7 linked regions of the Oryctolagus cuniculus genome follow. The protein of the gene in region 1 binds, or shares a complex with, the protein of each later gene. Links are inferred from orthologs where the notes say so. Each region holds a gene or a part of one and is shown in the gene's direction. Other genes may lie near its edges. The genes, in order: GNB1, TRPM3, GRK2, GNGT1, KCTD12, PTGDR2 and FFAR2.

Region 1 (3,942 bases):
CCTCCCGGCGTCCACGTACACAGCCCCTGCCCGCTCTGGCCTGCGCGCTGCACCCTCCGCCTCCCTGCCGACGTTCCTGTGTCCTGGACCTCGGGTGGGCACTGAGGCCGGGACCCACCTCCAATGCCCAGATCCACCCCTCTGCGGCTCCACTGCCCCGTGGCCCTGGGGCTGCCCAGCACGCCAGCCCTTCCCTGAGGCCCATATCTGTGCCCACCACTCACACTCCACTGGCCAGTGAAGCTGCCCCACCAAGGGCCCACTGTATGGTGTCCCTGTGCTGGGCACAGCCGAGCATCACCCCACATCTTCCACACCTGCTGTGGCTTTCCCGGGGATGCCTGGTGGGGCCGGGGAGCGGTGGGCGAGGCCGGCCTCGCACTGTGGCAGGGGCAAGGGTCGGTCAGGGTCTCAGGCGGCCAGGGCCAGAGGACAACATGTCTGGGGCGGTGACCCCACCGGAGCCAGCAGCTGGAGTCACAGGGCGGGGGGGGGGCAGGAGAACACGCCCACACTGGTGCACACAGTCAGGAGCCTTCCTGTGGGGGTCAGCAGGGCGGGGGGAGGGTCCTCCGCACATGGGCCCCGCGGCGTGGGGTGGGCCTTGGCGAGATCCTGCAGGTTCCCCGTGCTCCGTGGCACACCCAGGTCCGCGCACCCCCCCTCTGCCTGGCAGCCGCCTCACGCGGGGCCCACGCGGTGTGGAGGGTCCAGGCCGCGGCTCCAGCGAGCCCAGCTGCACGGGCGCACGCCCGGGGAAAGGGGCTTCGGGTTGGACTTGGGACCGCGGCCAGACCAGCTGGACGGGGGGGGGGAGCGAGTCCACGGCCCCCGAGGCTCCAGCGGACGCATCGCGACCCCCGCCCTCCCCACCCGGCGCCCGCGCCTCGGCTGTCGGGCCTCGGCACGCACGTGGTCGCTCCTCGCGGGAGGCCACTCGGGGGCACCGGGCTCCAGAGCCCTCCGGCGCCGTCTCCCGCAATGCGCCGGCCCTCGGCCCGTGCGCGGCGCAGAACCGGCTCTCCGGGCGCCGGCCGGCGCGAGCAGGGGAGCCAGGGCCTAGGTCCGGCCGCAGCCGGGGCCGCGGGGCTCCTTTAAGAGCCCCGCGCACGCGCGCGTCGGCTCGGGGAGCGCGCGTGCGTGCGCGCGCCCGGCGGCCGTGCGCGGTGACGCGGCGCGTGGGGTTTCCCGAGCTGCGGGCAGGGGCGCCGCGCCCATCCCGATGGCTGGAGGCGTCTGAGGGGCGGACGGCGGCGGGCGCGGGCGGGAGCGGAGCGGGAGCGGCCGGAGCGAGCAGCCGCCGCGGACCCACAGCCTCGCCGCGCACCTGCCCAGCGCCCGCAGCGCGGCCCGAGCGCCAGCCTCGAGCGGCCCCGGCGGCGGCGTGGGCGTCAGGCCGGGCGAGGGCGCCGAGGTGAGCGCGGCCGCCGCGGCCCAGCCCCGAGCCCCCCGGCCCGGTCCCCGGTGCCCCGGCGTCCCCGCGGGCCCCTTCCCCTGCCCGCCGGCGCCCGCCCCGCCCCCACCGCCGGCCGGGCCGCGTCTTCCTGCCCCGCCCGGGTGGGGCTGCGGGGCCCCGGGAGGCGGCGGGGGTGCGGGCGGGGGTCCGAGCCCGCCCCGAGGCCAGGGCGCGCCCGGGCCAGCGCGGGTCGGGGGGCGGCCCCCGCCCGGCGGCTCGGACCGCGGCCGCGAGAACAAAGGCTGGCGCGCCCCGGGCCGCGGGAGCCCCGCCGCGCGGAGGGGCGGCCGCGGCGGGCGGCCCCGGGCTCGGCGGTCGCGCCGCCCCGGCCCGGAGCTCGGGGGCCAGCGCCGCGCGGGCGGGCGAGACCCCGCGGCGACCCCGGCCCTCGCGCGGCGTGGGCGCCGCGTCCGGGCCCCACGGCCAAGATGGCGACCCCGCGGCGCGGCCATTGTCGCCGGCCCCGCGGGCTGCGGGCCCCCCGCGGCCCTGGGCGTCCCGCGTGGGGGCGCGTGCTCCGGGGGCCGCGCTCGTCCTGGGGGCCGCGCTCGTCCTGGGGGCGCCGTGGGGCGCTGCGGCGCGGGGCGCCGGCCGCGGGAGGAGCCCTCCGGGGCGCGCCGGGTGGGCGCGGGGTGGGCTGCTGCGTGTGTCCGTCGGTGCGACCGTGCTGTCACCGTCGCTGCCCGGGGGAGACAGCTGGGCTTTTGTCACGGCCAGCTCGCCGGTGCGGGGATGGCAGGCGGCTGCGGGCAGCGCGTTGGGTCTCCGGGGCACGCGTGGCGTGTGCGTGGCGTGCCGCTCCGGTGGAGCTGCAGGCTTTTTGGAGGGAAGGAGCGCCGTCTGGACGTGAGGATGCGGGCGCTTCCGGGGGTGCGCGGCAGCCAGACGGCGAGGGAGCAGTTCCCTTTCCGCCGGCCGGCGACACGCGGTGCGCGGCGGGGCTGGGCGGGAGCCCGAGGGCCGCAGCTGCAGTGCAGGTGCCCGGCCGGGGCCGGCGAGGGCCCCGAGGATGCTGCGGGGTTTTCTTGCGTGGAAATCCGCGCCGGGGGCGCCTGAGGAGGTGGCCCCGCGCCCACCCTGCTGCCTGGCACGCGAGGGGTCGGTTTCGTGTTCACTCCGGAGCAGCGAGCGGAGAGCGCTCCGCCTGCCCGGTGCCGGAGGCGGGTTTGCGGGCAGGGGCCGCGCCCTGAACTTTTCTCTTGGCTGCGCCGGGAAAGTGTGGCCCCCAGACGGCCGGCGGGGAGGGTGGGGGTCTCGGCCCCGCGGGCAGCAGTGGGCTCTGGCTCATCCTGCTCTGAGGAGGAACACTGGTCTCATTTCGGAAGTGCAGTGTTGGCATCTGCTGTAGCTTCTTCATTGGATTGTTTTTCTCCGCCCGAGAGATTTGGCTCATGTCAGTCTCCAAATTGGATTAAATTCTTGCTGCCTGCGGCTTTGGCTTCAGCGTTAGTGGATTGGTAATAGATAGGCTCAATTTTATTATCTGGGCTTGACCATATGGCAAGCAATATGATTTTGAAACCCCTGTTTAGTGCAAGTCTCGTAAGACGTGGACAGGGTTCTTTAGATTATTTTTAAACACTGTTTTGAATTCTGGTTTCAGGTTTGTGTTTGCTGATGGAAATGAGTGGTGGGATTACGAAGCGGTTTCACATGAAATGGGGGGATGAGAACAGATCCAGGGGCTTGAGCCCCAGCGGCTGTTCCACTTCTGAGCCAGTTCCCCGCAGGTGCGCCTGGGAGGGCAGCTGAGGGAGGCCCGGGTGCCTGGGCCCCGGCACCCACGGGAGAGGCCCTGACCGAGCTCCAGGCTCTGGCTTCAGCCTGGCCCAGCCCTGGCCGGTTCGGCCATCTGGGGAGTGAACCGGCGGGTGAGTGGGTGGGAGATCTTTCTGTATCTGCCTCTCTTTGTGTAACTCTGCCTTTCAGGTAAATAAATAAATCTGTAATAAAAGCGAATGTGTGTTGAGACAGGGAAATGATTTACATGGCTGAGACTTCACACTGAAGGAGTGTGTATACGTACGGGAGCGCAGGGCCCTGTGGCTGGGCTGCGGGGGACGGGGCGCCTGTGCCCCACAGCTGTGAGCTCTGTTTCAGACCCCGCACCTGGGAAGTGCGGCGGCTCCGGGCCGCGAGCCGTGCGCGGCCAGGGGAGGCGAGGAGCCGCCTCAGCTCCGTCCTGTGTCCTTGTGCAGGCGCTGCCTTCCGTGGACCCGGGCTGCTTGCTCGCTGCTAGTGAGACTGAGTGAACGTATTCCCTTATTAGCTTAAATCGGAATTCTGAGAAGGAGCCTTTCCGAAGAGCTTAATTTAAAAGACGAGACTTAACTAAAATGATTCTTAGAATTACCCGAGAATTCAGCCTGTTGTGCCACTGATGAGAGATGATTATGATTTAATAATCACTGCGAACGTAATGCGTTTTATCAAGGGGCAGGTTAATTCTGTATCCTGTAACCTACTAGAATTGGAATGCTGAAGGC
Region 2 (3,500 bases), on another chromosome or scaffold:
AGTCCACTCAAGCCCCTATAATGAAAGACTATAGGGCCGGCACCACTAGGCTAATCCTCTGCCTTGCGGCGCCAGCACACCGGGTTCTAGTCCCGGTCGGGGCGCCGGATTCTGTCCCGGTTGCCCCTCTTCCAGGCCAGCCCTCTGCTGTGGCCAGGGAATGCAGTGGAGGATGGCCCAAGTGCTTGGGCCCTGCACCCCATGGGAGACCAGGAGAAGCACCTGGCTCCTGCCATTGGATCAGCACGGTGCGCCGGCCGCAGCGCACCAGCCGCGGCGGCCATTGGAGGGTGAACCAACAGCAAAAAGGAAGACCTTTCTCTCTGTCTCTCTCTCACTGTCCACTCTGCATGTAAAAAGAAAGACTATAGACAGGGTGACAGGGTGGCTGGTACACAGCACAAAGTCACTGCTTCTGGTGCTGAAGGCTGAGAAGTTTCATCAAGTCAGCAGCAGACCCGGCATCTGGTGAGGGCCTGTTTCCTGGTTCAGAGACAGTGCCTGCTACCTCGTCTCACACGGGAGAAGAGTGTGCGGGTTCCCACAAACCTCTTTTGTAAGGACACCATTCCCATTTATGAAAGCTCATTCCTCTGGACCTCAGCACCTCCCCCAAAGGCCCATCTCCTAACGCTATCACTTTGGGGATTGAGACATCACCACAACTTTGAGGAGGGGCACAAACCTTCAGACCATAGCATTCATTCAAGTACTGGATGTCACAGAGATGTCAGTGAAGCAGGATTGTTAAAGAGGGTGAAGGAAATCTTGGTCCACAGCCGACATTATAAACCCACCAGTTCTAGCCTCAGATAATCTTTATGTTTCTCTCTACTTTCCTAGTTTTTGGTGATGCACCAAAATCACCCAATCCCTAGTTCCCTAGAATTTCTGTAAATAAATGGTGTTTTGTTTAGTGACATGAAGCAAATACTATAGAGTACAATAGAGTTCTTATATTACTTGTTGAAGATACAGTAGGATTCTGTTCTTACCACTATGAAAGAAAGACCTAACTTTGTTTGCAATATTTTTTAACAGCCCAAAGCCTTGAAACTGCTGGGAATGGAGGTAAGCATTTGCTCAAATTTTTAGTGTCAATTATTCTTTTTTATTACACATTTAAAAAATAAACATGTAAGCTCATTTCAGTGGTAGAGCTTAGTGTATGATTTTAAAATAAGGAAATGAACATTGTCCAAGTGTCATGGGGGCTATGACCATAGCTTTGAAAATTCTGCCAGGAGGTTATATTAGCATTGCCAACAAAAAAAAAATCCTATCTGAAATACTAACTTGAAAACCCAGGAAGTATATAAATTCCAGTAAGCAAAATCTATTCATGGGTATTTACAAAAGCCCAGAACTCCTCCACAAGTGCATCTCGTGAATGTGCAGAAACTTGAGATGGTCTGTTTCCAATCATTGTCCACGTGGCTACTGTTGTACATGCAGATGCAAGGAAAGGATGCCCTTGTCCTTTTAGCAAAAAAGACAGTGCTGGTCCTCATGTGGTATAAACAGTCCTACAAGTAGAGGAAAAACATGGACTACAGTGGAAAGGAAAAGACCCGTTAAAACCATTTTAATTAAGTATAAAACTTACATATTCCCCTAGGACTAGACCTATGCATTTATTATATTAGATAGTTAGGCATGGATGAGCTTGTGAGTTCTTTTCAGAAAGGAGCCGGCCTAGTTCATTAAAGTGTTGCTCCAGAGCTGAGCCAACAGAAGATCTACAGTAATTCCCTAAAATAAACAGATTCAATTCTAACTCCTCCTCTATGTGTTTCCCTAAAACCACAGGATGATATCCCCTTGAGGCGAGGAAGAAAGACAACCAAGAAGCGGGAGGAGGAGGTGGACATTGACCTGGATGACCCTGAGATCAACCACTTCCCTTTCCCTTTCCACGAGCTGATGGTGTGGGCCGTCCTCATGAAGCGACAGAAGATGGCCCTGTTCTTCTGGCAACATGGCGAGGAGGCCATGGCCAAAGCCCTCGTGGCCTGTAAGCTCTGCAAAGCCATGGCTCACGAGGCTTCCGAGAACGACATGGTGGATGACATTTCTCAGGAACTGAATCACAATTCCAGGTTAGCCAGCCTGGGGAGCAGGGTGGTCAGATAGACCCCAAAGACTGGAGAGTCTGAGCTGCCCAAAACTCTAAGGGGAGCAGGGTCACCCCAGTGCTGCACCCAGAGGATGAACAAAAATAATTAGCCTTTATTGTGCACAGTGCTACACACAGAGGCACCTGCAGACACGCAGAAGATAAAACCGCATCCTATCAGCCTACCCAGAGATGGGTCCAATTATCAAGCACTTCTTTTGGCTGTGGAAATGAGGCTCAGAGATTTGAAGTAATTTGTCCAAGGTTACACAGTTGTGGTTGGCAAGGCTGGGATTTAAACTGAGGTCGGTCACATTGAAGAAGACACCCTACATTCCTTGGTTGACTGCTTCTCCCATCCTTTGCCTTGAATGCTCTGAGTTCAGGGATCTTGGCTTGTTTGACTGACATCTCCACTTCTGAGTATGGTATCTGGCACACAGTAGATGCTTAGTGGATGTGACTAGAGGAACTTAAGCACAGACCAGACCCCATATGAAACAGTTACTCCACATCAACCGCATTTGTGACTGGCAGTGGGTGCTTGCCTTTCTCACCTAAGTCTCCCACTTGACCTGAAGGACTCTTATGCCCTTTTCCTTTCAGGGACTTTGGCCAGCTGGCAGTGGAGCTCTTGGATCAGTCCTACAAGCAGGATGAGCAGCTGGCCATGAAACTGCTGACGTATGAGTTAAAGAATTGGAGCAATGCCACGTGCCTGCAGCTCGCGGTGGCTGCCAAGCACCGTGACTTCATTGCCCACACATGCAGCCAGATGCTGCTCACCGACATGTGGATGGGCCGGCTCCGCATGCGCAAGAACTCGGGCCTCAAGGTCAGTGCACCCAAGAAGGCCCTGTTGGCTATGAGGGCCAGTGGGTTGGTTGGAGTTTGCCAAGCCAAATCTGCAGTGAGATGGGACATTCTCTATCTCAGGAGGATGATGCTAAATCCTAACTCCCATCAGACTCTCCTGTCTGGTGGTTTTGTGTGTGTGTGTGTGTTTGTGTGTGTGTGTGTGTATATATATATATATATATATATATGGAGAGAGATATATGCACTGCAATCTCTCCCCCAACCCCCAAGTCCTGTTGAACCAGAATATCTAAACATGGGGCCCAAACAATATTTTTCAGAACACTGTGATGGTTATGCCCAGGTACCTGTGCAGTGGCATAAGCCATGCTGAACCAGGAGCCCAAACCTGGTTAGCTCTGCATGCAGTGGCAGCCTGAAGTCCCTGGCGTTGTTCCTGGCATCATGTCATACAGACCCTGGGTCTCAACAAATATGCTTGAGAAATTTTCAAATTATTAAAATAGGACGCTTACATATAAAGACATTGCTCTATAATCCTAATGTACTCGTAAATGAAGAAAAG
Region 3 (2,624 bases), on another chromosome or scaffold:
TGACGGCCCCCTGTCCCTGCGGCGAAGTTGCTGGACAGCGACCAGGAGCTCTACCGCAACTTCCCCCTCACCATCTCGGAGCGGTGGCAGCAGGAGGTGGCCGAGACGGTCTTCGACACCATCAACGCCGAGACCGACCGGCTGGAGGCGCGCAAGAAGGCCAAGAACAAGCAGCTGGGCCACGAGGAAGGTGAGGGCTCGGGCGGGGCGGGGTGGGCCTGGCGGGGCCTGGCGGGGCCTGGCGGGGTGGGCCGCCGCGCTCAGGCCCCTGCGCTCTCTCGCGCCAGACTACGCCCTGGGCAAGGACTGCATCATGCATGGCTACATGTCCAAGATGGGCAACCCCTTCCTGACCCAGTGGCAGCGGCGGTACTTCTACCTGTTCCCCAACCGGCTCGAGTGGCGGGGCGAGGGCGAGGCCCCGGTAAGCCGCGCAGGTGGGGAGCGGGCGGGGGGCGCCGGGGGCGGGGCTGGGCCTGGCCTCACCCGCCACCCGCCCGGCGCCTGCAGCAGAGCCTGCTGACCATGGAGGAGATCCAGTCGGTGGAGGAGACGCAGATCAAGGAGCGCAAGTGCCTGCTGCTCAAGATCCGCGGGGGCAAGCAGTTCGTGCTGCAGTGCGACGTGAGTGGGCGCGGGGCGGGGCTCCCGGGGGGCGGGGCTCCGGTGGGGGCGGGGCTCCAGGGTAGGGGCGGGGCTCGCGGACGGAGCTGGATGGGAGCTGGGACCCCAGGCTTGGGGGCGGGGCTCCCGGGTGGGGGCTGGGCTCCCGGGCCGGATGGGAGTGACTCCTGGCTTGGGGGCGGGGCTCCCGGGCAGGGCGGGGCTCCAGGGTAGGGGCGGGGCTCCCGGACGGGGCGGGACTGGAGCTGGGACTCCTGAGCCCCCGGGGCGGGGCTCCGGGCAGGTGCTGACGGAGCCCCGCCCCCGCCTCCAGAGCGACCCCGAGCTGGTGCAGTGGAAGAAGGAGCTTCGCGACGCCTACCGCGAGGCGCAGCAGCTGGTGCAGCGGGTGCCCCGGATGAAGAACAAGCCGCGCTCGCCCGTGGTGGAGCTCAGCAAGGTGCCGCTGGTGCAGCGCAGCAGCGCCAACGGCCTGTGAGCCGCCCCGCCGCCTTTTGTAGACCTCTAATTTATTTTGTCGGATTTTTATTATTTGTTTTCCCGCAAAGCGGAAAAGGTTTTATTTTGTAATTATTGTGATCTCCTGTGGCCCCAGCCTGGCCCAGCCCCCAGGGAGGGGCCCGCTTGCCTTGGCTCCCGCTGCCACCCCTGGCCACTGTCCAGTGCCCCCTGCCCCGACCTCCAGGGGCCGCCTGCTCCCAGTGTCTTCCTGTGAGAGGGGCGAGGCGGGGCGGCGGGCCTCTTGCCCCTGGCCCGGGCACGACGTCACACTGACTGTACCCTGGGGCTCCGCGGGCTGTGTCCTGTGCCCAGGGTGGGGCTGGGGGATGGGGGCGGGGCCTCTGCCACAGGGAGGCGCAGCACAAGGATTCTACTTGAACTTGCCCACTGCGGCCCTTCCCGGGACATGGGGACAGACGGTATGCTGTCCTGCTCGCCGGCCGCTGGCGGAGAGAGGGGACCTGCTGTATCCTGTGGCGACTCGGGCTCCGGTGCCCTGTTCGGGAGAAGCCTCCGTGTCGCAGCCTGCCCTGGACACCGTGGCTCAGCCAAGAGGGTGGTGTGGGCAGCAGGTGCTGCCCCGCCCCGACACCCCTCTCTCCCAGCCCCCTCTCCCTCCCACCCGAGCACTTGGGCTCAGGGACCACAGAAAGGCAACTGTGGATTGGGCCATACTGGCCTAGCCTGGCCTCAAGGCCCCCCAAGCCCTGGGCCAAGGGAGGCCCCGCCTGGGTGGGCGGGCAGCATGGCGCGAGGGCCGGCCGTGTGCCCCTCCACAGCCCCGTCCTGTCCGTGCCGCCGGGCACCGCCTCGCCTGCCGCATGCCCCTCGTGCCAGTCGCGCTGCCGTGTGTGGTGTCGCACCCTCTCCCCGGGGGCTGGGTCGGCGCGCCCTCCCCTCCGTCTGCTCACTCCCTGGGGTGTTTCTTTGCCGATTTTTGAATGTGATTTTAAAGAGTGGAAAATGAGACTATGCGTTTTTATAAAAAATGGTGCCTGACTGCTTGTCCGAGTCTCCTTGCATGTGTCCACTGCTGCTGGGTGGGGGGCTGATGCGGGAAGCTCCCGGGGCCCCCAGAGCCGGACCCTCTTCTAGGGGAGGCAGGGCACCCCCACTCTGCCACCGTGCCCCGCTCCCCCTTGGCGGCCATCCAGTACCCATCCCCTGCCTTCTGCCCACCGCCCCGGCAAGCTGCCAGTGGTGCCAGTGGCTCCGCACTTGGCATCGCTTCGCACCAGCTGGCCACCTCTGCCTGCCTGAGCAGCCCTGCTTGGCAGGCTCCCGGCTGAAGTCCCTCCCCGGGGTCAGTCCAGGAGGCTGTGCTGCCCTGTAGGGTGGACCGCAGCCCCCGGCCAGGGCGGCCCTCCTGGCTTCGGTCTCCCCGCTGGCCTTGCTGTATGGCCCCCAGGTCCAAAGGCTTGGGGCGTCGCCCTGTAGCAGGCTGCTCACCTTCCCGGTCAACTTTTGCCCACAGCCCCAGTGGAGGCATGGGGCAAGGC
Region 4 (4,127 bases), on another chromosome or scaffold:
ACCCCATGGGAGACCAAGAGGAGGCACCTGGCTCCTGGCTTCAGATCAGCACGGCGCCGGCCATGGCGGCCATCTGAGGGGTGAACCAACAGAAGGAAGACCTCTCTGTCCCTCTCTGTCTATAACTCTACCTGTCAAATAAATAATAAATTTTTTTTAAAAGTGCCTTTGTCAAGATTTCCTGATTCTCTTCTGTGTGCTAAACAATACAGACAATAATAGGCAAGCAAAAATGAGCACAAGAAAGTTACAAAGAGTCTGTCCTTCCTAGGAAAGGTCCTAATGATCCATTATATCTAAGGTTGGATCTCCTGGAAGCAGAACCTAAGTGATTTATCAAGGGCAAGCTCACAGAAGAAACCTCTGGAGGAGTAAGAAAAGCAAGATGGAGCAGGAGGAGAAGTTAATAAAAAATGAGGTTTCAGAAGACTAGCATTATCCCAAACCTGAGGAGTTCTGGAAGGTTCCGTATTGCAGAAAGCTTGTCCAGAAGTGAAAGGTGAGGCTGTTTGGACCACACATCAGCCAACCTTTTGTTACGCAATACCCTCAGGGACCAGCTTGGAGAAGAATCTCCTAGTTTCAATCAGTTAATACCTGAGTTCTCATCAGCCAAACCAACCTGTGCAGGAAAGTTTGGAGATATGGGCAGGGCAACAACAGCATCTACTACAAATGATGTCAAGGGAACTAAATGATGCACATGTGGTATCCTGTAAGAGGAATCCCTGTAAGGGCACCACTTGGCTACCATGAAATATTTCCTAGAGAATTTCACAGGAGGATCACTTGAATCAATGTGTAATGAGGAAGATGGCTCCAACTGAAGAGATGAGAAGATTCCTAGTAGGATGGAGGGGTCTATTCTTGTTGAGATGTGCATTGGTACCCCTGCTAACCTACTGCATTTGTTTATCCTTGTTATACAATTCATGAGAGTTACATAGAAATCCCAGGTATTGCTTGGAGACACAGTTGTAAATAGTACACTACTTTATTTCTGATGAAGAAGGTTGTTTATAGTATTTCCAAATTAATCACTTTTCAAGTCATTATACTGAAGTATAATAACACTTTTTATACGGTTCCTTTTAAATACCAGATTAAGTACGCTAGTGATTTAGCAGATTAATGAGCAGTCCTCAAAATGACCTCGAACTAGGTTAAATGGCACAAATTATAAAGTGAGCAGCTTTGGAACTGGAAGATGAAGGTTGATGACCCGAAATCTTACACTATGACAAAGAGAGGGGGGAAGGAGGAGCTTTAAGCATTTCAGATTTTATAGAACGGCACTGACCCCTCCTTGCAAACCCACTGGCAGGTGTTTAGAGTCAGATACTTGGCTTAATCATATTAGAGAAGATTACGAAGAAGCTTTAAAATCCCAAGACTACTGTTCAGTGCTAGAATTGTTCAGAGACGGCTCATGAGAAATTGATTATCACAGGAAATTTAAAATAAAACAAAGAACAGCTTGCTTAGTAAGTGACAAACTGAGAGCACAGTTGGCTAAGGTGGACTCAAAGTGATTCCAGCAACTCAGTTCTATGTGTTCACTTCCTATCTTTTTGGCAGGTGAAAGATGCCAGTGATCAATATCGAAGACCTGACGGAAAAGGACAAGTTGAAGATGGAAGTTGACCAGCTCAAGAAAGAGGTGACTCTGGAAAGAATGCTGGTAATTTCCTGCTTGCTTCTGGATTTAGTTTAAGCTAAAGATGTTGTGGAATGCTAAATTGGAAAGCATTAACTGTCTTTCATTTATTTATTATTGACTGAGGAGGCTAAATATGGTTCAAAATAAACTGTTCAAGTAAAACTTCATCAGAGACTGATAAAATTAATAATCATAATTCTTTGTTGATTGAGACTTTAATTCAAGGAGTAAGCAGATTATTTTCCATAAGCCAAATTTAACCTTTAATCTGTGCTTTGCATGACTGCCAAACTAGGAAAGATTTTACAGTTTAAAGAGTTATTTTTTTAAAAAGGAAAGAAAGAGGAAGGAAGGAAGGAAGGAAGGAAGGAAGGAAGGAAGGAAGGAAGGAAGAAGGAAGGAAGGAAGGAAGGAAGAAAGGACAGACAAAGGACAGAAGAGAGGGAAGAAGAATATGAAATAGAGATCGTATTTTAGCTATAGAATAAAGTGAAGCAATGCATACAGGTATTTTGTTTTTACTTTTCTAAATTCACAAGCTTTTCCTTTTTTCCATGTAATATTTTGTGATTGTTGAGACACTTAGAGCCATGACCTCAGATCCCAGCACTGTCATGGTCAGAAATAAATGAATGCATTCCATTCTTCTTTTGCAAATTTTCTTTTACCTAACAAAGAATTCAAGCACAAGAACTCCTTGGCTCCTCCTAGACACATCTGGCAGGTCTCAGAAATGGTTACAAGAGTTCTCTGCACTTAGAAGGAATAGAAATGGCAAAGGAATAAAGCTTCCAACAATAAACAGTGACTGAAGCTTGGAAAACACAGATGTGCATTTTAGATTTCTTCATTTTAGGAAATTTGTAGAACAAAAACTTCTCTGTAGATGATAACAGCATATTACATATTTTTTTAAAAAAATCTAACTTTATCAAGACAAAGTGGAAAGGGAGTTTATATTCTCTTCGTACTTTGCTTACAATTTTACTCCCAATCAAAATTGGGATTTTAGCTTCTTTTATATTTATAATTGTCTCAAACTTACCTGCTCTCCTTTCCATGAAATAAAATGTGTTTCACTGTAAAGATAAAACTAAGTCTATAACCAGCACAAAACTTGGAACATGCAAGAAATAAGTTGAAACCCTTATCTTTGTAATTTGAAGGAAAAATAAATGTCTGCGGTAAAGGAATGTTTTTCTTTCTTCTTTATTTGAAAAAAAAAATCCAAACACTGTCTTATTATTTGTGTACTCAGGATTGTTGTTTTGTAAGCAATCTGGTTGTCTTCATACTTATTATTCACTTGTGGTAAATTTACCTCAGAATTCTTATATGGGATAAAGTTCATATACATCACCATCCACCAGGCTTTGGGGTCCTTTTCCCCTATTATTCAGTTTCCAGGCTCTTGGAATATCAGATGGCAAGCACTTGCACACACACACACACACACACACACGCACACACACACACAGAAAGAGAGAGAAGTGTGTGTGGGGGGAGGTACATTGTCTTAGTCTGTTCAGCCTGTTATAGCAGAGTGCTACAGCCTGGGTAGCTTATAAACAACCGAAATTTATTCCTTACTATTCAGGAAACTGGGAAATCCAAGGTCAAGGTGCACAGCAGGTTCGGTGTTTGGTGAGGGCCCACTCCCTCATTCACAGTGCTCTGTTCCCTCCGTCCTTGCTTGGTGATTGCAACTAGGAAGCTCCCTGGGTCTTTTCACTAAGGACACTGCTTCCATTTGTGAGGGTTCTGCTCCCATGATCTAATACCACCACTTTAGGGGTTAGGATTTCAGTGCACAGGTTTGCAGGAGATAAAGCATTCAGGTGAACACATATTCATCATGGAAGCGCCAGGTCCTGAACCTAGAGTTCTGACTGACGTAGTATCACTACCATGGTTCAATGGGTAGATTCGGAACCATATTCCTGACTCAGATTCTGGTTCCACAACAACTTTCGGCCTGTGTCACCTTCACTTAAGCTAATCTACGTAATTGACATCTGCCTGTGTTCTTCAAAGTGGAGGTAGTAATAGCATTTAATTGAGAGGACAATTGGGAGAAATAAATATGACAATGGTCACAAAGTTCTGAGAACAACGTCCAGGACACAAGTGCTTTCTACACTATTTTACTATTGATATTTAAAATTATTAATATCTATGAACCAAACTTGTCATATTATGCCTCAATCTATTTTGTTGTCAATGCACTAGTATTGTCAGAGTAAGAAAACCCTTTGCATCTAGTTTCTAAAACTGACAGATTCTCAATGATGAGGCAGGCAATGGCTAAAAACAATCTTTGTAGTGTTTGCTAAAAGAAGTTACCTTTGATGGTGCATCTTCTTGCGTCAGGCTCTTGTTAGGCGCTTAATGCAACCAGTGTTGCTATTCTTATTTTACAGTAATGGGACCCTAGATGAGCTGTCTTCACCAAAGAATGCACTTCTCA
Region 5 (4,081 bases), on another chromosome or scaffold:
GAAGCGGCAAACAGCAGGTGCCCAGCAAACATTCGCTGACCCTGACCCGTGTCGTGTCGTCTTATCTTCCTCTGGCTTCTCCTCGGCTTCCCGACGCGCTCAGGTGCACGTATATATTTGTATACAAAGTCATAAATACATTCCGGACTTGTGGGGCGGGAGGCAGTGCGTGTGCAGGCAGCAGTCCGGAGACTCTACCCTCTTGGGAAGCCAGGGAAGGCTTCCGGGGGAGGTGGCATGTGGGCTGCCATCTGTCTAGTAACGTGCAAGGAGCAAGTGTTGGGGAGCCAGAAAGGATCTAAAAGATGCTGTCCCATCTACAAAAATCTCCCTCTGGGGAAATCGGGGAAGGGCTGAAGGGAATGACGGGGACGTGGAGGAGAGCGGGGGTGCATGGATCTCTGGCAGGATCCACACGTGGGAGTGATCAGGCAGACACTGGGATTTCTTGTATCATTTACAATGTCCAGTATGGACTCACTCTTCCCTCAGTCTGGCCTAGACAGCGCTGCGGGGGAGGGAAGGTGGTTGCATTGGCCGCCCCCACATCACACCCTTCGCCCAGCCAAGTCCCTGGTGCTGTAATAGCTCACAGCTTCCTACTTTGAGGTTCCCCGACCAGCGCCTCTGGCGCTGCACCCAGAGCTTGAACTTGGGGAAAGAGTTTTGCACAGGACTCTGAAGTCAACCTTTGGTGTCCAGGGCTCGTTTTGAGGCCACCGTGCACACAGTGTGGCTCCTTCCGGGTTGGGCGGCCTTCTCTGTGTCTCCAGATTTTTTTGTTTCTAAAACTACCATACCCCAGGAAGGCAGCGCCCGGGCTGCGTGGTTTGGATGGGTCCATTCCGGGGTCGGCCGGGCTGGAGGTGGCCCTGCACTTCCAGTCCCAGGGCTGGGAGTGTCAGAAAGTTGGCGTCCTCTGTCTGAGTCCTCCGTGCGGGCCGGGGTTGGAGGGAATCGGAGTGGTCACTGCTGTCTTGCGACGAAGCCAGTCCCGGGCTCTGAGCGCTTCGGGAGAAGGGAGAAAGTTGGGCAGAAGCACGGAGCCGGCCGTTGGGGAGCCAGGCGTGCCGTGGGCTGGGAGCGAGGTCGCCCCTGGGTGCGCCTGAACCAGGGTGGAGCCAGCAGCCTAGCCGAGGCCCCGCGTCAGCGTTTAAGATGCAAATCGATCCCGCAAGCACGCCCCACCCTCCCGCCTGGGGTGGGGGGAGCCTGGCTCCACCGCTCAGCGGCCGCCCACGCCTCCTGCGCGCCACGGCGCCGGAGCGGGCGCCTCTACTTAAGCTGCGCGCGGGCTGCGACCTGGCACTCGCCTGGAGCTCGCGGGCGAGGCAGCCGGAGCGCAGCGGAGCTCCCGCGGCTCACAGCGGGGCGCGCTAGCTGCACTTGGCTCCGTGCGGCTCGGGCTCGGGCGGAGGGCTGAGAGCGCGTCCCGGGCAGGGGCTCCGGGGAAAGCGGCTGCAGCTTTCGAGTGCAGTCCTGCTCCCTGCTACTGCCCCAGCCGGGCCACCTCTTTGCCATGGCTCTGGCGGACAGCACGCGAGGATTACCCAACGGGGGCGGCGGCGGGGGCGGCAGCGGCTCCTCATCGTCGTCCGCCGAGCCGCCGCTCTTCCCCGATATCGTGGAGCTGAACGTGGGGGGCCAGGTGTATGTGACCCGGCGCTGCACGGTGGTGTCGGTGCCGGACTCGCTGCTCTGGCGGATGTTCACGCAGCAGCAGCCGCAGGAGCTGGCCCGGGACAGCAAAGGCCGCTTCTTTCTGGACCGGGACGGCTTCCTCTTCCGCTACATCCTGGATTACCTGCGGGACTTGCAGCTCGTGCTGCCCGACTACTTCCCGGAGCGCAGCCGACTGCAGCGGGAGGCCGAGTACTTCGAGCTGCCCGAGCTCGTGCGCCGCCTCGGGGCGCCCCAGCAGCCCGGCCCGGGGCCGCCACCACCGCACTCGCGGCGCGGGGTGCCCAAGGAGGGCTCACTGGGCGATGAGCTGCTGGCCCTGGGCTACGCGGAGCCCGAGCAGCAGGAGGGCGCCTCGGCCGGGGCGCCGTCGCCCACGCTGGAGCCGGCCAGCCGCAGCCCGTCCGGGGGCGCGGCGGGCCCGCTGCTCACACCGTCCCAGTCGCTGGACGGCAGCCGGCGCTCGGGCTACATCACCATCGGCTACCGCGGCTCCTACACCATCGGGCGGGACGCGCAGGCAGATGCCAAGTTCCGGCGGGTGGCGCGCATCACCGTGTGCGGCAAGACGTCCCTGGCCAAGGAGGTGTTCGGGGACACCCTGAACGAGAGCCGGGACCCTGACCGGCCGCCGGAGCGCTACACCTCGCGTTACTACCTCAAGTTCAACTTCCTGGAGCAGGCCTTCGACAAGCTGTCTGAGTCTGGCTTCCACATGGTGGCCTGCAGTTCCACCGGCACTTGCGCCTTTGCCGGCAGCACCGACCAGAGCGAAGACAAGATCTGGACCAGCTACACCGAGTACGTCTTCTGCAGGGAGTGAGCTCCCGGGACCCCTCGCGGTTCCGGCGCCCGCCCCCACCCCTCGGCGGGGGAGAGGATCAGAGACCGCTCCCCATCCCTAACCTTTGCCCTTTGTCTCCCTTTGCCCCGAGGTCCCCAATCCCCGGTCCTGTCCTGGGTCAGACCGTTCCACCCCCCCCACCCCCTCCCCCACCCCCGCTTCAGAAAAATCCATCCTCTTTTCTTTTCTTCGGACTCGGCTAACCTAGGGGGCCCAGGCGCGTCCCCGTCCCCACCCCCACCCAATGCTTCCTCTTTTTGCTGCCTCAAACCTCTCCTCCCCCAGATTGTACTTCAATCTGGATCCAGCGGGCCAGTGTGGTTACAAAGCCGGCACGAACCGGGGGGGAGAACCGAGGTGTTGGGAACCCGTTCAGACTGTGCAGTGCTGCGAAGATTCCTTGAGATCTCGAGCCCTTCTGACACCCGTGTGGTGTGAGGGCGCAGAATGGTGACCCCGCCTGGGGGAGAGAGTTGGTGTCCTAACAGCTCACTGCCATCGCTGACCCTCTGTGAAGCCGGATTGAGGGCGTCGCTGAGGCACTTCGGTTGTACACGAGTGAGGTTTTGAAAAGCTGCAGGTGTAGACGTAGGAGCACTGGTGCTCACATGGTCAAGGGTCCTGTCTTTTCCCTACGGAATACAGGGTCTTGAAACTTGGAGAGCGTGGATCCTCCTGCCTGGCGAGGCGCCCTTTCAGCGCCAGGAGCCCTTGGTTCCCTGGGGTGACGTGGGAGCCCTTGGGGGCAAGAGGGAGAAGGGGTGTTGGTCTCCTAAGAATTAGAACCAAACAGGCCTCCGCTCCGTGGGGAGTGGTTACCTGGAAGTGATTGTATTCGCGACCGGGCCAGGAGACGCTCGTGGGCATTAGCAGAACTGTATTCTTGCAGTGAATGGTAATAGGACCTTTCTTAGAGCTAGGACTTTGCGGGTGGGGTGGGGAGGTAGGAGAAGAGGGTGGGAAGGGAGGGACAGATAGATACTCTTATTATTTGAAAGTTAGAAGTTTTAAGCATCCATTTGAATACGTGCATATTTGAAAATACCGAATGGTAAAATGCAAACACAGCTAAGCATTTCGTGAAGATTAGTAATAGACCTACTCTTAACTGCGGTTTATTTAACTGTTTTTAGTCCTAAACTTAGAAGTTGCTACTAGGTATCTAATCTAACCAAAGAGTTACCCAGTAGGGTTTTAGTTTTTGAACTTTTAATTTCCTTGTGGTTATCAATCTCGATTTTAGAATCTATTTACTTGAGCAAAGGGAGTTTGCTCTTGGCTTCTTAGACTTCAGATCTCATTAAAAATCCTCATTTTCTTCAAAGCCAGTGACCCTTGACTGCGGGGCAAACCTGAGAATGCCACATTCCCCCCACGCAGTTTGTTTGAAGTTCAAGTAGAATCTTTTCAAGTGACAGAGCTGCTGAGAAGTAGGAGCACCAGGGGCTACCCATCTGTGTAGATAGCTGTAAAATGAGATTTCTAAAATGAAGGCAAATAACTACTTAACAGCGAGCTGAGCAATAAAATGGTGTTAGAGGTAAACTGTAACCAACA
Region 6 (4,255 bases), on another chromosome or scaffold:
ATAGTGGGAGAATTCCAGCGGCTCCCAAGAGATGCTGGGCTGGAGGAGTGGCCCCCACCCCAGCACACTTGGCACTTGGTCATCGAAGGGTGGTCAAGAGTCAGGGTAGGGGCCGGCGCTGTGGCGCAGCAGGTTAACGCCCTAGCCTGAAGTGCTGGCATTCCATATGGATGCTGGTTCTAGACCCGGCTGCTCCTCTTCCGATCCAGCTCTCTGCTATGGCCTGGGATAGCAGTAGAAGATGGCCCAAGTCCTTGGGCCCCTGCACTCGTGTGGGAGACCTGGAAGAAGCACCTGGCTCCTGGCTTCGGATCGGTGCAGCTCCAGCCGTTGCAGCCATCTGGGGCGTGAACCAGCGGATGGAAGACCTCTCTCTCTGTCTTTACCTCTCCCTGTAACTCTTTCAAATAAATAAAATAAATTTTTTTAAAAAACAAAGAGTCAGGGTACAGTAGAATGCCAATGCATAGATTCAGTCTTTTCCCCTCCCCTAGGGCTTCTTTAAAAAAAATGCACTTCTTTGAAAGACAGAGATACGAAGGGAGACACTGGAGAGGGAGAGAGAGGGAGAGAGGGAGGGAGAGAGAGAGAGAGGGAGAAGAAATCTTCCATCTGCTGGTTTACTCCCCTAAGCCAGGCTGAAGCCCGGAGCCTGGGACTCCACCTGGGTCTCCCATGTGGGTGGCAGGGGCTCAGGCCATCTGCTGCCGCCCTCCCAGGTGCATTAGCAGGGAGCTGGATTGGAGTGGAGCAGCCGGGACTTGAAACAGGTACTCTGATGTGGGATGCTGGCTCAGCAGGCAGTGGCTTAACCTACTGCACCACCACAATGCTGGCCCGTCTCCTAGGGTTTTGAGCCTATTTAGAAAATAAAAGCAGTGTAGCCCTTGCCCTGTACCCATTTCCCTCCCAGGGAGAGGAGCTGTTTTTGTCGGGCACTTACTGTGCACCAGGTAACACTTCCTCAACCCTTGCCCTGACCTGAGAGGCAGGCATGATCACTGCCAGTCCCAGGTGGCAAAACTGTGTTGAGGCCACAAAGGGAAGTGACTGACCTTCCTGTGAGAGGGGCGGGGGTAGCGCGGGCAGCGCCAGCACGGGGCCCCAGAATAGCCAGACGGGCTCCCTCTCTTGAGGATTATGGTGTCGGGCAGGGTATCCCAGGGACAGTGGGCAGCTGGTCAAGACGTCCCCTGGCCCCTGCACTCGTTCTTGTCACTCTCCAAAGCATGCTGGGGCTCCCACTTCCGTGCACACAGCAACGACACCATGTGCATGTGCACTGCTCTTGGGGCTTCTGCAACGTCTCCTCCGTGGCAGGGATGGAGCAGGAACTGCCGGCATGAATGGAGAGGAATGAGACTTGAACACCAGCGTGACACTTGGCAGCTGTCCCCGCCTTCCGCCACCCCACCCCTAGACACACAAGCACGCACGCACTCTGGGGCTGAGAGCGGTTTCCTCCCTCAACCTCACTCCCTGCCTCCGCCTGCCTGCTGCCTCTCTTCTGCCTACTGCTGGGAGCTCCCTGCTCGCTCGGCAGGGCCTGGAATCCTGTGCCCTTTCTGTGCTCAGGTAAGGAGGTGGGGGCCCAGGGATGGGGTTGTCCTGGTGCCTCCCTGGATCCAACAGAGAAGGCACAGTTTTACCAGGAGAGAGGGCTCTTACCAATTAGGAGGCAGAGACCAGGGGAGGCTAGATGCTCAGAGGAGGGGACTGCATTTTCCCAGACCTTAACTGGATGCCAAACACAATGGTAAACCATTCATATTGTCTCTTTCAATGTGTGCTAGCCATTTGGGTGGCAAGATTACACTAGCAGGCTTAGGATAACTGATCCAAGTTCACCCAGCCAGGAGGTGAAGAGCTAAGATTCAAATCCAGGTCCTGGATTCCCAAAGTTTGTATTCTCTTCTCCCAACTCCCTCTCAAAGCATGACCCCAGCTGCTGGACCCCCTGGAGGTCTGGGGGCTGTCTCCATGTAGCTAGAGGGCCAGGTCTGGATGGTTCCCAGGGGTGCAGCAGGACTGTGCGCTCTGGGCAGCCCCAGGGGACTCAGACAGGAAGCGATGTTTCTGGGCACAGGGTGGGGACGGTGGTGCACTTATCTGTCGGTGGGGAATGAGTCCCAGCCCCGTGGCTGCGGCCGAGGAGCACTGGGCATGTTGTTGAGCTTCTCAGAACCTGTTTTCTCTTCTGAAAAACAGGGTCTCATTGCGAGTGTATTTGCTCTATAAGCCCAAAAACTTAGGAATTACGGCCACTTTCAGGGTGTGCAGGCCCAGCTGCTCCCCTCCCACCTGCCTGCAGACCCTTGACCCCAAGGCCTTGTCTCCCAGGGAAACTCCAGTTTTGTATGTCAGGTTACTACCCTAAAGGACTGTGATCCCTGGAGAGGAATCCACTTTCTCACCCTGGACGACAGTTTTCTTGCCCCCCCCCCCCCATTATCTCTAAGCAAGGATAGAGCCCCAGCCGCGTTCGCGTTCTCCACTGTTGCTCCTGTACATGGTTCTGCAGTTTGGGTGACTGGGCCAGGTACTTGTACACATCAGCCTCGGTTTCCTGTTCTGTAAAATGGGATGGAGCAGACCCGTGACATGAGAGTGCCTCTTGGAAGGATCTGCTGCAATCCTTGCTGTGGCCTGGGAACCCAGCACAACTAGAGCACCCCCCACCCCCACAGGGAGTGGCCCACTTGATTCCTCACTGGAGGGTCTGGGGTTCTTGGGGAGGCTGCGAGCACGCACGTCCCAGCACGGTGCCTCTACCAGAGCCTGGCTTGTCCAGCAGGTCCCTGAGCAGCTGCTTGGCACCTCCTGTGTGAGCAGGCGTGGGTTTGAGGGCATCAAGGAGGGAGCAGGGTTGAGTTTCCTGCGGCAGGCAGGGATGAGATTCTTGGCCCCTGGGCTCCTAGGGCCCCCATCAGGTGGTTCCTCCTGCAGGGCTCACGCCCTCCTCTTATCTTATTTCCTCTCCTACTTGCGGAGGAGGGGCAAGTTTTCTCTTTGCAGCCAACACACTCAATCTGCCACTACGGTGGACGCCAAGGGTGCTGGAAGCATCTGCAGAGAGGCAAGGGTGGGGGTGCTGTGAGTGGGAAGGGGTGGCCCAGACTGCTCCTCTCTGGACCCTGCTTCCCCCACTGGGGCCCAGAGTCATCCCACAGGGGTTCTGGGGAGTGGGTAAAGGAGTCCTTGGTGGCCGACCTCGCTGTCTTAGATCATTTGCTTAATAATCACATGACACCGGTACAGCCTTGCTGTGTGCGTTCTACACGCTTTAGTGTATTAACTCATTTAACTCTTCCAGTTAAGCTACCCTATGAGCCAGGTACTGTCAGGACTGCTACCCAAGCCACATGGGGAGAAAACCGGCGCAGGGAGGGTCAATGCCTTGCCTGAGGTTGTACAGGGAGGGGGAGGGGGAGCTGGAATGTTATCCCCCATCCCAGCCAACCCCAGCGCCTTTTCCCCACCACAACGCTCCCCTGGGTGCCTCCTCCCTGTCCCCACAGGGCCCCACCATGTTGGCCAACGCCACGCTGAAGCCGCTGTGCCCCCTCCTGGAGCAGATGAGCCAGCTGCAAAGCCACAGCAACTCCAGCATCCGCTACATGGACCACGCCTCGGTGCTACTGCACGGGCTGGCGGGGGTGCTGGGCCTGGTGGAGAACGGACTCATCATCTTCCTGGTGGGCTTCCGCATGCGCCAGACCGTGGTCACCACCTGGGTGCTGCACCTGGCGCTGTCCGACCTGCTGGCCGCCGCCTCCCTCCCCTTCTTCACCTACTTCCTGGCCGTGGGCCACTCGTGGGAGCTGGGCACCCCTTTCTGCAAGCTGCACTCCTCTGTTTTCTTCCTCAACATGTTTGCCACGGGCTTCCTCCTCAGCGCCATCAGCCTGGACCGCTGCCTGCAGGTGGTGCGGCCCGTGTGGGCGCAGAACCACCGCACGGTGGCCGCGGCGCACCGACTCTGCCTAGCGCTCTGGGCCCTGGCAGTGCTCAACACCGTGCCCTACTTCGTGTTCCGTGACACCATCCCGCGGCGGGACGGACGCATCATGTGCTACTACAACGTCTTGCTGCTGAGCCCCGGGCCGGACCTCGATGCCACCTGCAACTGGCGCCAGGCGGCCCTGGCGATCAGCAAGTTCCTACTGGCCTTCCTGGTGCCGCTGGTCATCATCGCCTCCAGCCACGCGGCCGTGAGCGTGCAGCTGCGCCACCGCGGCCGTCCGCGGTCCGGCCG
Region 7 (4,272 bases), on another chromosome or scaffold:
TGAGAGAGAGACAGAGAGAAAGGTCTTCCTTTGCCGTTGGTTCACCCTCCAATGGCCACCGCGGCCGGCGCGCTGCAGCCAGCGCACTGCGCTGATCCGATGGCAGGAGCCAGGTGCTTCTCCTGGTCTCCCATAGGGTGCAGGACCCAAGCACTTGGGCCATCCTCCACTGCACTCCTGGGCCACAGCAGAGAGCTGGCCTGGAAGAGGGGCAACCGGGACAGAATCCAGCACCCCGACCGGGACTAGAACCCGGTGTGCCGGCGCTGCTAGGCAGAGGATTAGCCTATTGAGCTGCGGGCCGGCCAGTGTGTTTAATTTTTAAAAGAAGTATTTTGAGAGGCAGAGAAAGAGAGAGGGATGCATGCAGATGGAGACCTCCCATGCACTGGTTCATGTCCCAAACCCCCACAGCAGCCAGAGCTGGCCTCTTAGGGAGGGAACCAGACACGGAGAGACCTCGCCCAACTCCGTCCCACCTCCCTCTGCCTCTCTAATACAGAATAAAGAAAACAAAGGAGTTTAAGGACTTCTAGCCTGGAGCACACAAGAGAGGGGGAAATAATGGGAAAAAACAAAGATGCTTCAGAGTTTGGGCCCAGCACAAACAGGGCAAACAGGGGCGGGGGGGGGGGGGGTGGAGCCGAGACCCACTCCCCAGGGCCACCTGCATTCCTGACACTTTCTCACAGCAGGTGGCCAGACCATCCTGAACTGAGCCAGGGCTTCAGCCGCACAAAGGTCTTGGATAGTAGAATTCAAGGATACCTTTGCTTTGGTGGGAAAAATTTTGAAATCTGTGCATGCAAGGGATCTTCAAAAAGTGTACGGAGATGTGTATTATGAAAAAAATTATGCATGGCTTTCCATGGTTTTTTTTTGATACCAAAATAAATGGATCTTAATTTATCTCCCCGGATTTTTTGAAGCACCCTGCCAAAGGCGACCTCACAGAAATCCTGGCTGTCAGTGTTCCCAGGCTCACTTCACTGGAAAGGAAACTGAAGCTCAGGAAATTGATCACCCGAAGGTCCCCGTGAGGGGACTTGGATCGGGGCCCACATCTGCCCGACTCCACATCCCACACTATTTCCAGCAGAACAAGCCGCAAGCTAGGAAAAGCCAATTTGTTCCAACTGAAAGGCCCAGAGAAGTCTGCCGGAGACACAGGGCAGGAGATCATATAGAATGTAAATAATAATAATAATCCATCAAAGGAAGTGGGAAATCTCTTTTCTAAGAAGAGTAGAATTACAGAAGAAATCGCCTAGCAAAGAAAAGAGGAGACTCTGGCTTGGAAAGTGAGAAATGAAAATGCCTGTGATTGAAAAGAAAAAACCAGGAACTAGGAAGAGACAAATCTGTGCTTGGAAGTCAGAGCCAGGATCTCTAGGGAGAGAGCCAAGGAGCCAGGGCCTTCTGCTTTGGGTTCGCGAGGGAAGCGTGTTCACCGCTGACCTGCCTCTCTCGGGTCACATGACACGGGCTGGTATAAAGCCAGCAGCCAGCAGCCAGCAGCCAGCAGCAGTGGCTAAGGCTCTGTCCCTCCTTGCTAGGAGCTTCCAGACTTTTCCTTCAGGACTAACTCCCCGGAGTCATCTCTCTGGAACGCAGGCAGACAAGGCAAGGCAGCTAGCTTGGGGCACGAGCTCTGGAAAGAGACGGTGGGCTCAGAATTCGTGGGGCGGGGGAGAGGTTGGGTGGGCTAGAGGAATCTGTCACACGCACTGCAGTTGGGGGCTCACACCCAAGACGGGGAGCGGAACCTGGACTGGCCACATGTGGAAACTGAGGCACCCCAGCAAGAGGAGGGGCCAGACAGCTGTGGCCGTGGGCTTTTCTAGACGTCTCTGTAAGGGCTTTCAGGGACAAGCCCCAAAGCACAGGACTGGCTCACCCTTCCCCTTCTCCACTTTTCCCCGGCTTCGTCTTTCCAGAGAGTCCCCTGGGGCTGCTGTTGGACAGGGCTGGACACAGCAGCGGAGACTCCGTGCGGTGCAGGAGACAGAAGGGAGAGCAGCCGGTGCCCCTGAGTCCCGCCTTCCAGCTCTGCTCGGCCCTCACACTGCCGCCTTTCTCTCCTGCAGGTCTCCAAGCTGGAATGAGCCTGCGGCGAAGTTGGACGCTGTGACCAGCAACTTCCCATAGCTGTGAGGGCACAAGGAGAAAGGCCCGGCAACCTGCAGGGGGAATTCCCTCAGGCAGCCGAGGGCTGGTTTCCCCCAGAGACACAGGATGGCAAACGTAATTACTGCAGCCTAATATCCCGCCCAAGGCAAAGTCAATAATTACTCTGGGCAGTTCTGGCAGGTGGCGGGAGCGGCAGAGCGCTGGAGCCCGGGCAGCGGTCTGAGCACCAGGGAGGATGTGCGCGTCCTGATCCCCAGGAGGTCCGCCGGCTGGGAGGGCCCCCCTACCCCGCCCCTGGCCCCGGCCCCGGCCCCGGCCAGGCCCCGACCCTGCCCTCTCTCCCAATCCTCCTCCAGGATGAGGCTCGACCTGCACAGTTCCTTGATCCTCACGGCCTACATCATCATCTTCCTCACTGGGCTCCCCGCCAACCTCCTGGCTCTGCGGGCCTTCGTGGAGAGGGTGCGCCAGCCGCAGCCGGCCCCCGTGCACATCCTGCTGCTCAGCCTGACGGTGGCCGACCTGCTGCTGCTGCTGTTGCTGCCCTTCAAGATCGTGGAGGCCGCGTCCAACTTCCGCTGGTACCTGCCGCAGGTCGTGTGCGCGCTCACGGGCTTCGGCTTCTACAGCAGCATCTACTGCAGCACGTGGCTGCTGGCGGGCATCAGCATGGAGCGCTACCTGGGAGTGGCCTACCCCGTGCAGTACAAGCTCGCCCGCCGGCCCGTGTACGGCGTGATCGCCGCTCTGGTGGCCTGGATCATGTCCTTCGGTCACTGCACCGTGGTGATCGTGGTGCAGTACCTGAACGCCACCCAGCAGGTGGGCAGCCGGAACGAGATCACCTGCTACGAGAACTTCACGCAGGAGCAGCTGGACGTGGTGCTGCCTGTGCGCCTGGAGCTCTGCCTTGTCCTCTTCTTCATCCCCATGGCCGTCACCATCTTCTGCTACTGGCGCTTCGTGTGGATCATGCTCACCCAGCCCCACGTGGGGACGCAGCGGCGGCGCCGGGCCGTGGGGCTGGCCGTCGTGACGCTTCTCAACTTCCTGCTGTGCTTTGGGCCTTACAACTTCTCCCACCTGGTGGGCTTCTACTTCAAGGAAAGCCCCCCGTGGCGGGTGGAGGCCGTGGTCTTCAGCGCGCTCAACGCCAGCCTGGACCCTCTGCTGTTCTACTTCTCCTCCGCCGCTGTGCGCCGCGCTTTCGGCAAAGGGCTGCGGCTGTTCCGGAACCCGGGCTCCTCGCCCCTGGGACGCGAGGGCAAAGAGACGGCAGAGGTGACGAGAGGGGGCAGGGCTGGGAGTCGGGCGGAGGGAATGGCGACTCCGGACTTCATGTCGGACTAGCGGTCTCCCTGGACCTTCGGCAGCACCCTGGAGGGCACAGGGGGTGGGCAGCCAGGGTGCCGGAGCAGGAGGTGTCCCGTCCCAGTTTCGGGAATCCTGGGGCCTGATCCACCTCGGGGACTGGGTAAAAGGCTCCCTTGCCAGCTTGGTATCCCTTCCCAAGGACACGAGAAGAAACGGTTAGGCGTGGAGGCACCGTCAGGCTAGGGCTTCAGGAGCTGTTAACCTGAATTCAGTCCTTGGGAGGGGGCTGGGGGCTGGGATGACCAGACAAGGGCAGCGGAGGGGCCTAAAGGATCTCGCCCCAAGCTTGGGTATGACGCCCAGACGCTGGTCTCGCTGCTGCTGCTGCTTGGAGGAAGCCAACGGGAGAGAGATGGTTGGGAAATACTAAACAAAAGCAAGAGCCCAAAAAGGTCCTGAGCTAAGGGGACCAGAAGGGAGGGCTGGGGGCTTAGACCGACCTCTAATGCGGTTGGGGTTCAGGGTACCAGTCTGACCCATTGCTCTGCTCATTTTCGAGTGTTGTGTTCTCCCATCCCCCACCGGTGGGTGAGGTCTGGGTCTCATCTGCCTCCGGGAAGGGGCTGGGCACCCCTAGTCTAACGCTGACCCGGCCTAGTGCAGGAAAAGCCACCTGGTCTGGGAGACTGAAATAAAGACACTAAACCTCTCCAGCGAGTGGCCCCGTTTTGTAGCATTTCTGTAAGCACAGGGAAGGCAGAATGGGGTGGAGAACTGGATGCAGCTGCGCCGGGGAAGGCAATGCCTCAGAGCCCCCAGGAACCTTGT

What was found.
Region 2: the proteins of GNB1 (region 1) and TRPM3 are in contact, whole or in part, in a crystal structure (PDB 6RMV), measured with the Mus musculus proteins. The link is inferred for Oryctolagus cuniculus from reciprocal best matches to the Homo sapiens genes GNB1 and TRPM3. Residues at the interface, in NP_001153488.1 of Mus musculus: Lys57, Tyr59, Trp99, Val100, Met101, Leu117, Tyr145, Gly162, Asp186, Met188, Cys204, Asp228, Asn230, Asp246, Arg314, Trp332; in NP_001349418.1 of Mus musculus: Lys615, Arg616, Lys618, Ala619, Lys621, Leu622, Leu623, Gly624, Met625.
Region 3: the proteins of GNB1 (region 1) and GRK2 are in contact, whole or in part, in a crystal structure (PDB 5UKL), measured with the Homo sapiens proteins. The link is inferred for Oryctolagus cuniculus from reciprocal best matches to the Homo sapiens genes GNB1 and GRK2. Residues at the interface, in NP_001269468.1 of Homo sapiens: Leu55, Ala56, Lys57, Tyr59, Ala60, Gln75, Asp76, Gly77, Lys78, Pro94, Leu95, Arg96, Ser97, Ser98, Trp99, Val100, Met101, Leu117, Tyr145, Ser147, Asp186, Met188, Cys204, Asp228, Asn230, Asp246, Ile270, Cys271, Asp290, Phe292; in NP_001610.2 of Homo sapiens: Tyr553, Gly556, Lys557, Asp558, Phe584, Pro585, Asn586, Arg587, Glu589, Pro597, Gln598, Leu600, Thr602, Glu604, Ala654, Leu657, Val658, Val661, Pro662, Lys663, Met664, Lys665, Asn666, Lys667, Arg669, Pro671.
Region 4: the proteins of GNB1 (region 1) and GNGT1 are in contact, whole or in part, in a cryo-EM structure (PDB 7L0P), measured with the Homo sapiens proteins. The link is inferred for Oryctolagus cuniculus from reciprocal best matches to the Homo sapiens genes GNB1 and GNGT1. Residues at the interface, in NP_001269468.1 of Homo sapiens: Leu30, Ile33, Thr34, Ile37, Val40, Ile43, Met45, Arg48, Arg49, Trp63, Ser84, Tyr85, Thr86, Phe235, Pro236, Asn237, Asp254, Arg256, Ala257, Gln259, Leu261, Ser279, Lys280, Ser281, Gly282, Arg283, Leu284, Leu300, Asp323, Gly324; in NP_001316355.1 of Homo sapiens: Met31, Val33, Lys35, Cys36, Cys37, Glu39, Val40, Arg41, Tyr43, Val44, Arg47, Ser48, Asp51, Pro52, Leu53, Val54, Ile57, Asn62, Pro63, Phe64, Lys65, Glu66, Leu67.
Region 5: the proteins of GNB1 (region 1) and KCTD12 are in contact, whole or in part, in a crystal structure (PDB 6M8S), measured with the Homo sapiens proteins. The link is inferred for Oryctolagus cuniculus from reciprocal best matches to the Homo sapiens genes GNB1 and KCTD12. Residues at the interface, in NP_001269468.1 of Homo sapiens: Arg8, Glu12, Lys15, Arg19, Thr184, Asp186, Cys204, Asp205, Ser207, Thr221, Thr223, His225, Glu226, Ser227, Asp228; in NP_612453.1 of Homo sapiens: Lys246, Asp251, Leu253, Glu255, Ser256, Arg257, Asp258, Pro259, Asp260, Arg261, Pro262, Pro263, Arg265, Arg269.
Region 6: the proteins of GNB1 (region 1) and PTGDR2 are in contact, whole or in part, in a cryo-EM structure (PDB 8XXV), measured with the Homo sapiens proteins. The link is inferred for Oryctolagus cuniculus from reciprocal best matches to the Homo sapiens genes GNB1 and PTGDR2. Residues at the interface, in NP_001269468.1 of Homo sapiens: Thr50, Arg52, His54, Leu55, Gly310, His311, Asp312, Ser334, Phe335, Lys337; in NP_004769.2 of Homo sapiens: Cys59, Arg60, Arg62, Lys314, Arg317.
Region 7: the proteins of GNB1 (region 1) and FFAR2 are in contact, whole or in part, in a cryo-EM structure (PDB 9CM7), measured with the Homo sapiens proteins. The link is inferred for Oryctolagus cuniculus from reciprocal best matches to the Homo sapiens genes GNB1 and FFAR2. Residues at the interface, in NP_001269468.1 of Homo sapiens: Arg52, His54, Leu55, Asp312, Ser334, Phe335; in NP_001357016.1 of Homo sapiens: Arg37, Gln38, Pro39, Gln40.

The regions. Positions count from the first base shown.
Region 1 is NC_091438.1:163,893,410-163,897,351, forward strand, and holds the start of GNB1 (guanine nucleotide-binding protein G(I)/G(S)/G(T) subunit beta-1), read left to right. Parts: upstream 1-1,142; 5' UTR 1,143-1,414; intron 1,415-3,942. UniProt on the Homo sapiens protein: Guanine nucleotide-binding proteins (G proteins) are involved as a modulator or transducer in various transmembrane signaling systems.
Region 2 is NC_091432.1:159,810,223-159,813,722, forward strand, and holds part of TRPM3 (transient receptor potential cation channel subfamily M member 3), read left to right. Parts: intron 1-1,041; coding exon 1,042-1,071; intron 1,072-1,809; coding exon 1,810-2,099; intron 2,100-2,722; coding exon 2,723-2,951; intron 2,952-3,500. UniProt on the Homo sapiens protein: Constitutively active, non-selective divalent cation-conducting channel that is permeable to Ca(2+), Mn(2+), and Mg(2+), with a high permeability for Ca(2+).
Region 3 is NC_091432.1:4,736,464-4,739,087, reverse strand, and holds the end of GRK2 (beta-adrenergic receptor kinase 1), read left to right. Parts: intron 1-27; coding exon 28-190; intron 191-287; coding exon 288-424; intron 425-510; coding exon 511-624; intron 625-937; coding exon 938-1,102; 3' UTR 1,103-2,124; downstream 2,125-2,624. UniProt on the Homo sapiens protein: Specifically phosphorylates the agonist-occupied form of the beta-adrenergic and closely related receptors, probably inducing a desensitization of them. Key regulator of LPAR1 signaling.
Region 4 is NC_091447.1:42,000,558-42,004,684, reverse strand, and holds the start of GNGT1 (guanine nucleotide-binding protein G(T) subunit gamma-T1), read left to right. Parts: upstream 1-1,327; 5' UTR 1,328-1,484; intron 1,485-1,578; 5' UTR 1,579-1,585; coding exon 1,586-1,681; intron 1,682-4,127. UniProt on the Homo sapiens protein: Guanine nucleotide-binding proteins (G proteins) are involved as a modulator or transducer in various transmembrane signaling systems.
Region 5 is NC_091440.1:35,613,310-35,617,390, forward strand, and holds the start of KCTD12 (BTB/POZ domain-containing protein KCTD12), read left to right. Parts: upstream 1-1,281; 5' UTR 1,282-1,519; coding exon 1,520-2,503; 3' UTR 2,504-4,081. UniProt on the Homo sapiens protein: Auxiliary subunit of GABA-B receptors that determine the pharmacology and kinetics of the receptor response. Increases agonist potency and markedly alter the G-protein signaling of the receptors by accelerating onset and promoting desensitization.
Region 6 is NC_091432.1:11,723,167-11,727,421, forward strand, and holds the start of PTGDR2 (prostaglandin D2 receptor 2), read left to right. Parts: upstream 1-1,455; 5' UTR 1,456-1,575; intron 1,576-3,518; 5' UTR 3,519-3,527; coding exon 3,528-4,255.
Region 7 is NC_091449.1:19,139,642-19,143,913, forward strand, and holds FFAR2 (free fatty acid receptor 2), read left to right. Parts: upstream 1-1,472; 5' UTR 1,473-1,623; intron 1,624-2,087; 5' UTR 2,088-2,244; exon of another isoform or gene 2,245-2,390; intron 2,391-2,486; 5' UTR 2,487-2,487; coding exon 2,488-3,480; 3' UTR 3,481-4,161; downstream 4,162-4,272. UniProt on the Homo sapiens protein: G protein-coupled receptor that is activated by a major product of dietary fiber digestion, the short chain fatty acids (SCFAs), and that plays a role in the regulation of whole-body energy homeostasis and in intestinal immunity.